2 linked regions of the Rattus norvegicus genome follow. The protein of the gene in region 1 purifies or fractionates together with the protein of each later gene. This does not show direct contact. Links are inferred from orthologs where the notes say so. Each region holds a gene or a part of one and is shown on either strand. Other genes may lie near its edges. The genes, in order: Pinx1 and Tert.

Region 1 (4,512 bases):
GAGATCTAGAACCAGACCCCTGACTCATTGCAGTGAACATTTGCAAGTGAAGATGTGTGGACAGTGAGATACACTGGGAATACAATGTGACACACTACTGCTTCCACAATGAGATGTTTGCTTTGCTTTGCTTTTGTTGTTTGTGTGTGTTTTATATTGTGGGGGGAGGTCGCAAGGGCAAAGGGGGTATATGAGGGGACAGGAGATGAGCAGGAAGAACTGGGATGTGTGATGTGAAACTCACTAAGAATCAATAAAAAGTTAAAAGAAAGAAAGAAAGGAAGGAAGAAAGGGAGAGAGAGAGAGAGAGAGAGAGAGAGAGAGAGAGAGAGAGAGAGAAAGAAAACCTGAGTCTGGGAGAATAAAATCTGCCTGATGTCCCCAAGTAAAGACCAAACCTTTTATACAAACCAAAGTCTCACAAATGTCAACATTTACTATTTAAGGCACTGTTAAGATGGAGACTCACGTAGCACCCAAGTTAACCTGAAATTTGCTATGTAGTGGGCTGGAGAGATGGTTTAGCAGTTAAGAGTACTGTGTGTTATTCCAGAGGACCAGGGTTCAATTCCCAGTACCCATATGGCAGCTCAAAACTGTAACTATAGTTCCAGAGGATTTGACACCCTCATACAGGCAAAACATCAATGCACATAAAATAAAATTTTTTTCAACTAAAAAAAAATTGCTACATAGCTAAAGATGACCTTCAACTTCTGATCCTACTGCCTCTACCTCCCAAGTACTGACATTAATGGTGTGTACTGCCATGCCCAGATCAACTTATATTCTTTTTTTTAAAAAGATTTATTCATTTATTATATGTAAGTACACTGTAGCTGTCTTCAGACACACCAGAAGAGGGCATCGGATCTCTTTACAGATGGTTGTGAGCCACCATGTGGTTGCTGGGAATTGAACTCAGGACCTCTGGAAGAGCAGTCGGGTGCTCTTAACCGCTGAGCCATCTCTCCAGCCCAACTTATATTCTTAATTCACAATACATAAGTCACTATGACCTAGGGAGAGTCAACTGGACATCATGAGGGTACCTCCCTTCTTATTCAACACCATAATGGATTCACTCAGCCTCGGGAACCATCTGTGGTACTTCACACCCCACTGCACTGTGGTGTTTATACCCCTCCTCATGAGTCCTGTCCCTCCACACCCCTTACATGTCATACTCAGTCCTTCATCCTTACACTTCATTCAGGAGGAAGATAAAAAGCACTCTGTCCATAGTGGCACCTGATAACAGTGCATGGAGACATGAAGGAGTGAGGAAGGAGAGAAGTAAAGGAAGACAGGAGGAAGGAGTGAATAGCTGAAATAAGGGAACTGCCCTGGTGTCGCAGGAAGCTTTCTCTGAAATGAACCTACATAAGTGATCCCTAAGAGCTCAACTTTATCGCTGGCATTCATCTAAGCACACTAACATCAATGGCCTCAAAACTGAAAAATAACACAACCTCCAGTCAAAAGAGCTCACTGTGTTAATGTAAAATCAATAGGGATCTTTATGCATGCATACCCCAGCAAAACCACAAAACCCTTTACAAGCATGCAGGCAGGAAAACAAAAACAAAGCAAACTGAATTGGACTCAAGTTTGCAGTGCTATGCCTGGGGGAAAAAGCCAATCCACCCAGCTCAACAACCTGGTATATACTCAGCACAACACTGTCTTGCTCATGCACACAGCAAAGAGAGCCATATTAACCAGTGTTCTACAAGTGTGTGTCAGACCCATGTCTGGAGAATGCCTGCCAAGGGTTGGTGAGCAAGGTTTGTAAGGAGCCCACCTTTCCCCTAAGAAATGCATCTCTGCCACATACTTACACAAGATGCACTGCCATGCTGGGTAAGGAACTGGCTGCCAGGTCACTTGTTCAGCCCTGTCTACCATTGACATTCCAAACTGTGTTCATGCAATCACCTCACTAAGATTTTTAAGCCTGGCTGAGGCGGAGACTAGTTCATTTTCATGGAAGTAGAGACCAGGTGAACTGCCAGGAAGAGGGATCTACCTAGAAAGGGCAGTTTTCAGTCTATAACCTATTGAGCTGCCTGCAGGATGTGCAGTGTGCTCCACTAAAACATACTTTGTTCTAAAATGACACAATTATCTTTTAAAAAGGAAATAATTTGTTTATGTTCTTTGATAGCTACACAACTTCCAGGAAAAGTTAAAAGCCAGCTTTTGGTGATCATCACACGACTGCCAACTGGTGGCAAGAATCCATAGCTACATGTCGTCTCTTTTAGAAGTAAAGTAGCTTCTGGGGAGGGAATTAGTGCACTTCAGAGTGCACTTCGTTTTCGTTCTCTCTCTCACTCTCTCTCTCTCTCTCTCTGTCTCTGTCTCTGTCTCCCTCCCTCCCTCCCTCCCTCCCTCCCTCCCTCCCTCCCTCCCTCCCTCCCTCCCTCTCTCTCTCTCTCTCTCTCTCTCTCTCTCTCTCTCTCTCTCTCTCTCTCTCTCTCTCTCGCTTAGAACCATTCATCAGCCTGCACTCCCGCCAGAGATTTATCACTGCCTGACACCTGTAATCCTTCTGTTTTTCTTCTCTGGGTCTAATACATTTTGGACAGTTGGGATTCGTGGCCTGAAGTGATGCTATGGGACCTGTCTTTGTGGAACCCCAGGATGCTGTTTTGAGCCCGAGAAGTGAAAGATTCCTCCAGCTGGCCACGATGCCCAGCGCAAGGGACAACAGTCTGAGACCCGGTGTCCTGAATGTCGGAACGCCACGCGTGCGCGCACGGCCCAAGCTTTTAGTTCCAAGAAGCGAGTCTGCGGGACATAGATGATCTGTCCCTCGCGGGCCCGGCAGTCACTGCTGTCCCCAGTCGGGCCCGGATACCCGCACTCCCATCACCCCTTCACCCGGTCGTCCAGCTTGGCGGACACTCACGCTCCGCTAGCATCGACATTGTCGCAAGTCTGTCGAGCGCTGCCTCTGGTCTGGCGCCCAGCGGTTATGAGGAGCCTGAAGTGCAGTTAGGGAAGAAGCCGGCTCACAGAGCACGCCGGGTCCAAGAGTTTCACTGGGGCGCATACTACTGACGTCACCAAGCGCGACTCGCCACGGACTACGTAAAGCCGAGGGGCCGACCCACCTTGCGGGACTGGTACACAAATTCATTCTAGGGCTGGGGCAGAGCTCTCGTTGGACTCAAGCAGTTCGCAGTTTAACGCAGAAAGCGGATATGCAAGCAACCTTAAAGTTGTTCGGGGTTCTGTGAACCATAGGTACCTTCAAAGAGCTGGCGAGATGGCCAAAGAAGAAGGTATTGGCACTGTGGAGCGGGGGCCCACTTTCCTCACACTCTACCTCTTCTCATTGGGGATGCTGAGAGAGGAGGGAGGGAGGGAGGGAGAGAAGGCAGAAACAGCCACGTAGCTGTCAAAGTCAAACGAAACACCAGATTTTTGTTCTTAACGGTCGAGAAATGTTAACTCTTCCGTGGTGTTCGCTGTGACAGACTTAAATCCCAAAGGCCTTTCCCAATTCCATCGCTCAACATGCTATACCTGGCATTTGCTGAATGCATCCTGACACATTCTGTTGCCCTCTTTTTGCTGACCTTTCTCCTCCATTTGTGTGACCTCAGCAATTTCCCAAGCTGTTTACTTGCCTCCCCCCAACCCCCGGCCCCAGCCTCTTCCTTCAACGTCCCTTTCTTTGTCAAGGCTTTGGCTTCCAATCTAGACCTTAGCTTTCCTCAAATCTTTGTTGTAGCTGTGCCTTCAGCACTGGCCAGTGCCCTGACCTTCCAGAGGCTCTTCTTCCTCGTTTTGTCTTTTTATGGAAGGTAACATCCACTTTTCACCAGACCCAACAAGATTCCATGTAGACCCCCATGGCAGTCAGTGCAACCCTTCTAGGATGCGGTGTGCTGGTAAAATATGGCTGTGTTGGAGGAAGAGCTCGGGGTTGGGAGTGGACAGACCTGAGAATCAGGCATGACTGTCACTTACCTACCTGTAAGATGAGAGCACCCAGCCAAGAATGATTGTGTGCTTGACCACGAATTATTAACAAGAAAGAAGAGGCAGTAATGTGACTGTGTGGTGATGAGGCTGAGTCTGACCAAATCACCCGCTTAGGACATCTGAGCTTTGCCCCAAATCCTTTCCAGATTTCCGTTTCCCTGGGCCACGTTTCCTAATCTGGATCACTAAGGCCAGGTACAGCAGCCAGAAGGGCACACAGGAGCATTTTCTCACATTCAGTGAGGATACCAGCTTTGACCTCACTCCTCTAAAAGTTCTTTACAGGACAAGGAGGAGTGACCAATGAGAGCATTCCCAGCGAGTGTTCTTGGATCACAGCATCAGCTACCTTTGAAAGTCTTTGTCATTTGTCTGAAGACGTCTTTGGGGAGCATTGTAAACTTCTACTGTCCATTAACTGCAGTTTGAGAAGAGTTGGAGGAGCAAGTATGGAGAGGACAGAAAAGAAAGTATGGAAGCCATGCAGCCCTGGAGTCTGAAGCAAGTTTATTAGGG
Region 2 (3,809 bases), on another chromosome or scaffold:
GCCTACAGGGCCCCTGGCTAACCCAGATACTGAAGCGTCCAGGCCCTGGTGGTAAGTCAGGCTTGGCTACTTCTCTGAATAGGACCCAGCCTCCAGAGGGATCTCCCACAGAGCAGAACCCAGAGCAGTTGGAATGTACTGTCCAGGGAACCCATATAGAGCTCAAGACTGTTCTGAGAGCTAGTTATCCGCCCCCCAAAAAGTGGGGTCCCCGATCCTGAGAGAACTGGAGGCCCTAACACTTTTAGCCTGTAAGCACTCACAGGCCAGCACTCCCAATCACCTGCTTGAGGTACAACAGGTCACCCAGTGTTGGCTATTCCAAGGAGGTCCCTAGAACCCAGACCATGAGAGCAAATGTGGTAGACAGGAGTCCAAATGATGACCTTAACAAAGTACATCCTGGGTGTCTGGTCCAGAGCACGCACACGCAGCACGAAGGTCCGCCAGATCCTGTAGCTGTCACTCGTACCCAGTACTGAAGCACCCATAAGGTTAGGATGTTTGGTCCGCTCGTAGTTGAGCACGCTGAACAAAGTCTTGAGACTCTGAGTGAAACACTGGGTCTGAGCCAGGGCCACAGAAAACACATCAGAAAGGGACCCGGCAGACCATTCCCTGACCACCCTGATTTCTGAGCCCAGAACCTCAGCTCAGAGCCAGAGTCTTAGAAGACCTACCTCACTAAGTCAACTGACTGTATTTGGGACCCTTATCCAACCTGCCTCAACCTGTTCTCACTCACCCCCCACGGGCCTTCTAGAAACACGCCCACTGGTTAGAGTCAGGGTCAGGGTCGCCTTACAAGGGCTTCCAGCTGAGCTGAGGCACCAGTAGCTTCATGTTGTCCTCTGAGGCCTTACTAATGACCACACAGGCACTGGTGGGGTTCAGAGCTGCTTCTGACATCCAGATATGGGGATGGGTGGCAGCTGCCCCTGGTTACTTTGCCTCCCAGCATAGAGGCCATATAGTGCCTACCCTACCTGGCAAGATCCCTGAGAGCTTGTGTCCCAAGCTCTCTGTCTCTTGGTACCATCTCCTATCTCTTAAGACCTTTCCACATGCTAAGGTTTTAGACTCAGGAACAAGTTACTTAGCCTCCCTCAGAACTTCATGAGCCCTTACATAGGTCAGAGCATAGACTCGACCAGCCGTACGGGGGGGCCAAGTTCAGTCACCTGCTTCTTTTTGCCAAAAGCTCTGGTGTCCATGCCATAACTCATGTTCACAATGGGCCGGAGACCATTGAGCTTGGGGATGAAGCGCAATCTGCAGATAGGCATGGCCAGCCAAGTGTCCTGGTGATGCTTGACCTCCTCTTGTGACAGTTCCCGTAGCTGAACTCTCTCAAGCTGTTGCCTGTTGCAGAGAGTACCGTGGAGTTATGACATGCATAGTTCACGAGACACGTCCCATCGGGGCGCTTGGGAACTTGGAGCGCTTGACACCCAACCATGCTATGGGGCTACATCTAGGACCATAGCAACCCACACCAACCAGACACCCCATAGAACTGTCTGGGAGGGGCATGTGACACCTAGCCTGAGTTGGTACCTGGGACATCTGGTCCCATAGTCTCCACTTGGTGTTCCCTTCTTTTGGGGGGTGGGGGTGGGGTTGTCCCACTGGCCAGGACACTTTTGAAGCAATCTGCTGACTCTTATGGATATTCTGGCTTAGACACAGGTATGAAAACAAAACGTGTCCATGCCTGCCCCCAGGAAGCCCTGTGCTGGTTGTTAAGAATCCCCACAAGCATAATGTATGGCTGATGTGAGATACATAGTTAAGGCTGGACCTCAAGAAGGCTAACACGGAGCTGTGTGGTAGTGGGAGCACACCCTTAATCCCAGCACTTGGAAGGCAGAGGCAGGTGGATCTTTAGGGGTTTGAAGCCAACCCAGGCTATGGAACTAGTTTCAGGACAACAAGAACAAAACAACAAACAAAGTTAACATGGTAATCCACTCTCTGTGGGCCTTGCCTGGCCGCTCCTCTGCCCTCTCAGCTTGGCCTTTGTAAACTTCTGCTGAGACAGCAAACTCTAGCTCAATCAGCACAGAACCTCAGCCACTCAGAGCCCTGCCACTTCTCAGGGTGGACCCCTGTGGTCTCCCACCGAGGAGACACTTCCTTCAGGGGTAGACACAAGGTGGAGTCCATTGATAAAAAGCTCTCCTACTTTAGGGATCCAACTTATGCTTTCACAGGCAAGAAAGCAGGGTGTCCAGTCCATGGCTCCAGGGAGGCCACGCCTGCAAGGTCCATGCCCAGGCTGGCAGGTGCCACAGTGTGGGTGTCGGTGCCTCTGGATATGTAAATAGGAGACGCTTATACCTGAGAGGCTGTGTGGTACCTGATTCCAATGCTCTGCAGCTTGCTCCACACACTCTTACGGTAGAAGAAAAGGCGGTTCTTCTGGAACGTGGTCTCTGTGATGTAGAAGAATGACCTCAGCAGCTGTACCACATATGTGTCCATTAGCCAGAACAGGAACATGGCAAGGATCCTCTCCCTCAGACGGTGCTCTGCGGCAGGGACAGTGTCCTTCTCTGAAAGTAGCAGATATTCAACATCTGTGACTCAACCTCAGACCCATAATGTCCGGCATAGGAGCCACGGTTCCCAAATGAGCCCATGGGGTGCTGGACTGGACATGCTGGGCTCTAATAATATGTATTAATAAACTCATTTAATGTGTGTGTGTGCATGTGTGTGCATGCGTGCATGCATGCTTGGTTTCTTTATGTTGTAAACTAAAGTTCCTGACAAGGCCGTGTCGGTAGTGGGTGAATCCTGCAGGCCTACTGACTACAGATGAAATACCCCTGACTGACAGAGAAATGCTCTCGAGGTATTCTTCAGCCCCCAACAGCCATTCACTATCAATCTCTGAATCCGATCTAGGACCATTGTAACTATCGACTGATTCTTTTGAGCTAGATTGACTTAGCAAACCTTAGCTTCTACCAGCTCTAGATCAGATTATGTCTTCAAATAGGGGATGGGGCATGGCTCAGTTGGCAAAGTGTTTGCTGGAGGGGCGCGAAAACCCAGTTTAATCGTCAGAACCCATGTTTTAAAAGCCAGGGGTGCTGACATGTGCCTGCAAGTACCACTACGGAGGCAAAGGCAAACGGACTCCAGCAGGATCAGCTCCAGGCGATTAGAGAAGACACTCGGCGTCAACCTCAGACCTCGTACACATATACAGGCAAACCTCAGTGGGAGCTACTGCTAAACTACCAAGTCACCAACTACACATACCCATTGCCACTGAGCAGTGAACACAGTTCAGAGAGGTCCAGAATGAAGTAGAAAACAGGTTAACTCTTACTGCCATGCTGGATGTGTGAGCTCCACTCTGTGTGTCTCCAGATACCGCAGGGGCCTCCTTATCCAGGGAAAGGAGGGTTTACCAGCAGTGATGAATATGAAGGAAACTTGTGAAGGAGAAGGGGAATCCCAGAAGGAGGTACAAGCTAGAAGACAGAATGAACAAACAAGGAAGGAAACAGGGCTGGAGAGCTGGCTCAGCAGTTAAGAGCACTGGCTGCTGTTGCAGAGGTCCCTGGGGTAGCTCACAACTTCCTGTAGCTCTAGTTCCAGTGTGGTCAGACCCAGCACCAGGCACGCCATACATACATTCAGGCAAAACATTCCTACACATAAAATGATCATTAAAAATAGGTCAATATATGGAGAAAATGGCGTGGAAGGTTAAAACTAAACAAGCAGTGACCTTAAGAAAACAAGAATGATGTTTGATTTGGGAACAGAGAGGCTGAAGGCAGACCTAAATCAGC

What was found.
Region 2: the proteins of Pinx1 (region 1) and Tert purify together in Homo sapiens (co-immunoprecipitation; 3 studies listed by BioGRID and IntAct, with this or other methods). This does not show direct contact. The link is inferred for Rattus norvegicus from reciprocal best matches to the Homo sapiens genes PINX1 and TERT.

What each region holds. Positions count from the first base shown.
Region 1 is NC_086033.1:42,272,357-42,276,868, reverse strand, and holds the start of Pinx1 (PIN2/TERF1-interacting telomerase inhibitor 1), read right to left. Parts: upstream 3,065-4,512; 5' UTR 2,934-3,064; coding exon 2,915-2,933; intron 1-2,914. UniProt on the Homo sapiens protein: Microtubule-binding protein essential for faithful chromosome segregation. Mediates TRF1 and TERT accumulation in nucleolus and enhances TRF1 binding to telomeres. Inhibits telomerase activity. May inhibit cell proliferation and act as tumor suppressor.
Region 2 is NC_086019.1:31,478,042-31,481,850, forward strand, and holds part of Tert (telomerase reverse transcriptase), read right to left. Parts: intron 3,486-3,809; coding exon of another isoform or gene 3,341-3,485; intron 2,556-3,340; coding exon 2,360-2,555; intron 1,363-2,359; coding exon 1,182-1,362; intron 567-1,181; coding exon 387-566; intron 1-386. UniProt on the Homo sapiens protein: Telomerase is a ribonucleoprotein enzyme essential for the replication of chromosome termini in most eukaryotes. Active in progenitor and cancer cells. Inactive, or very low activity, in normal somatic cells.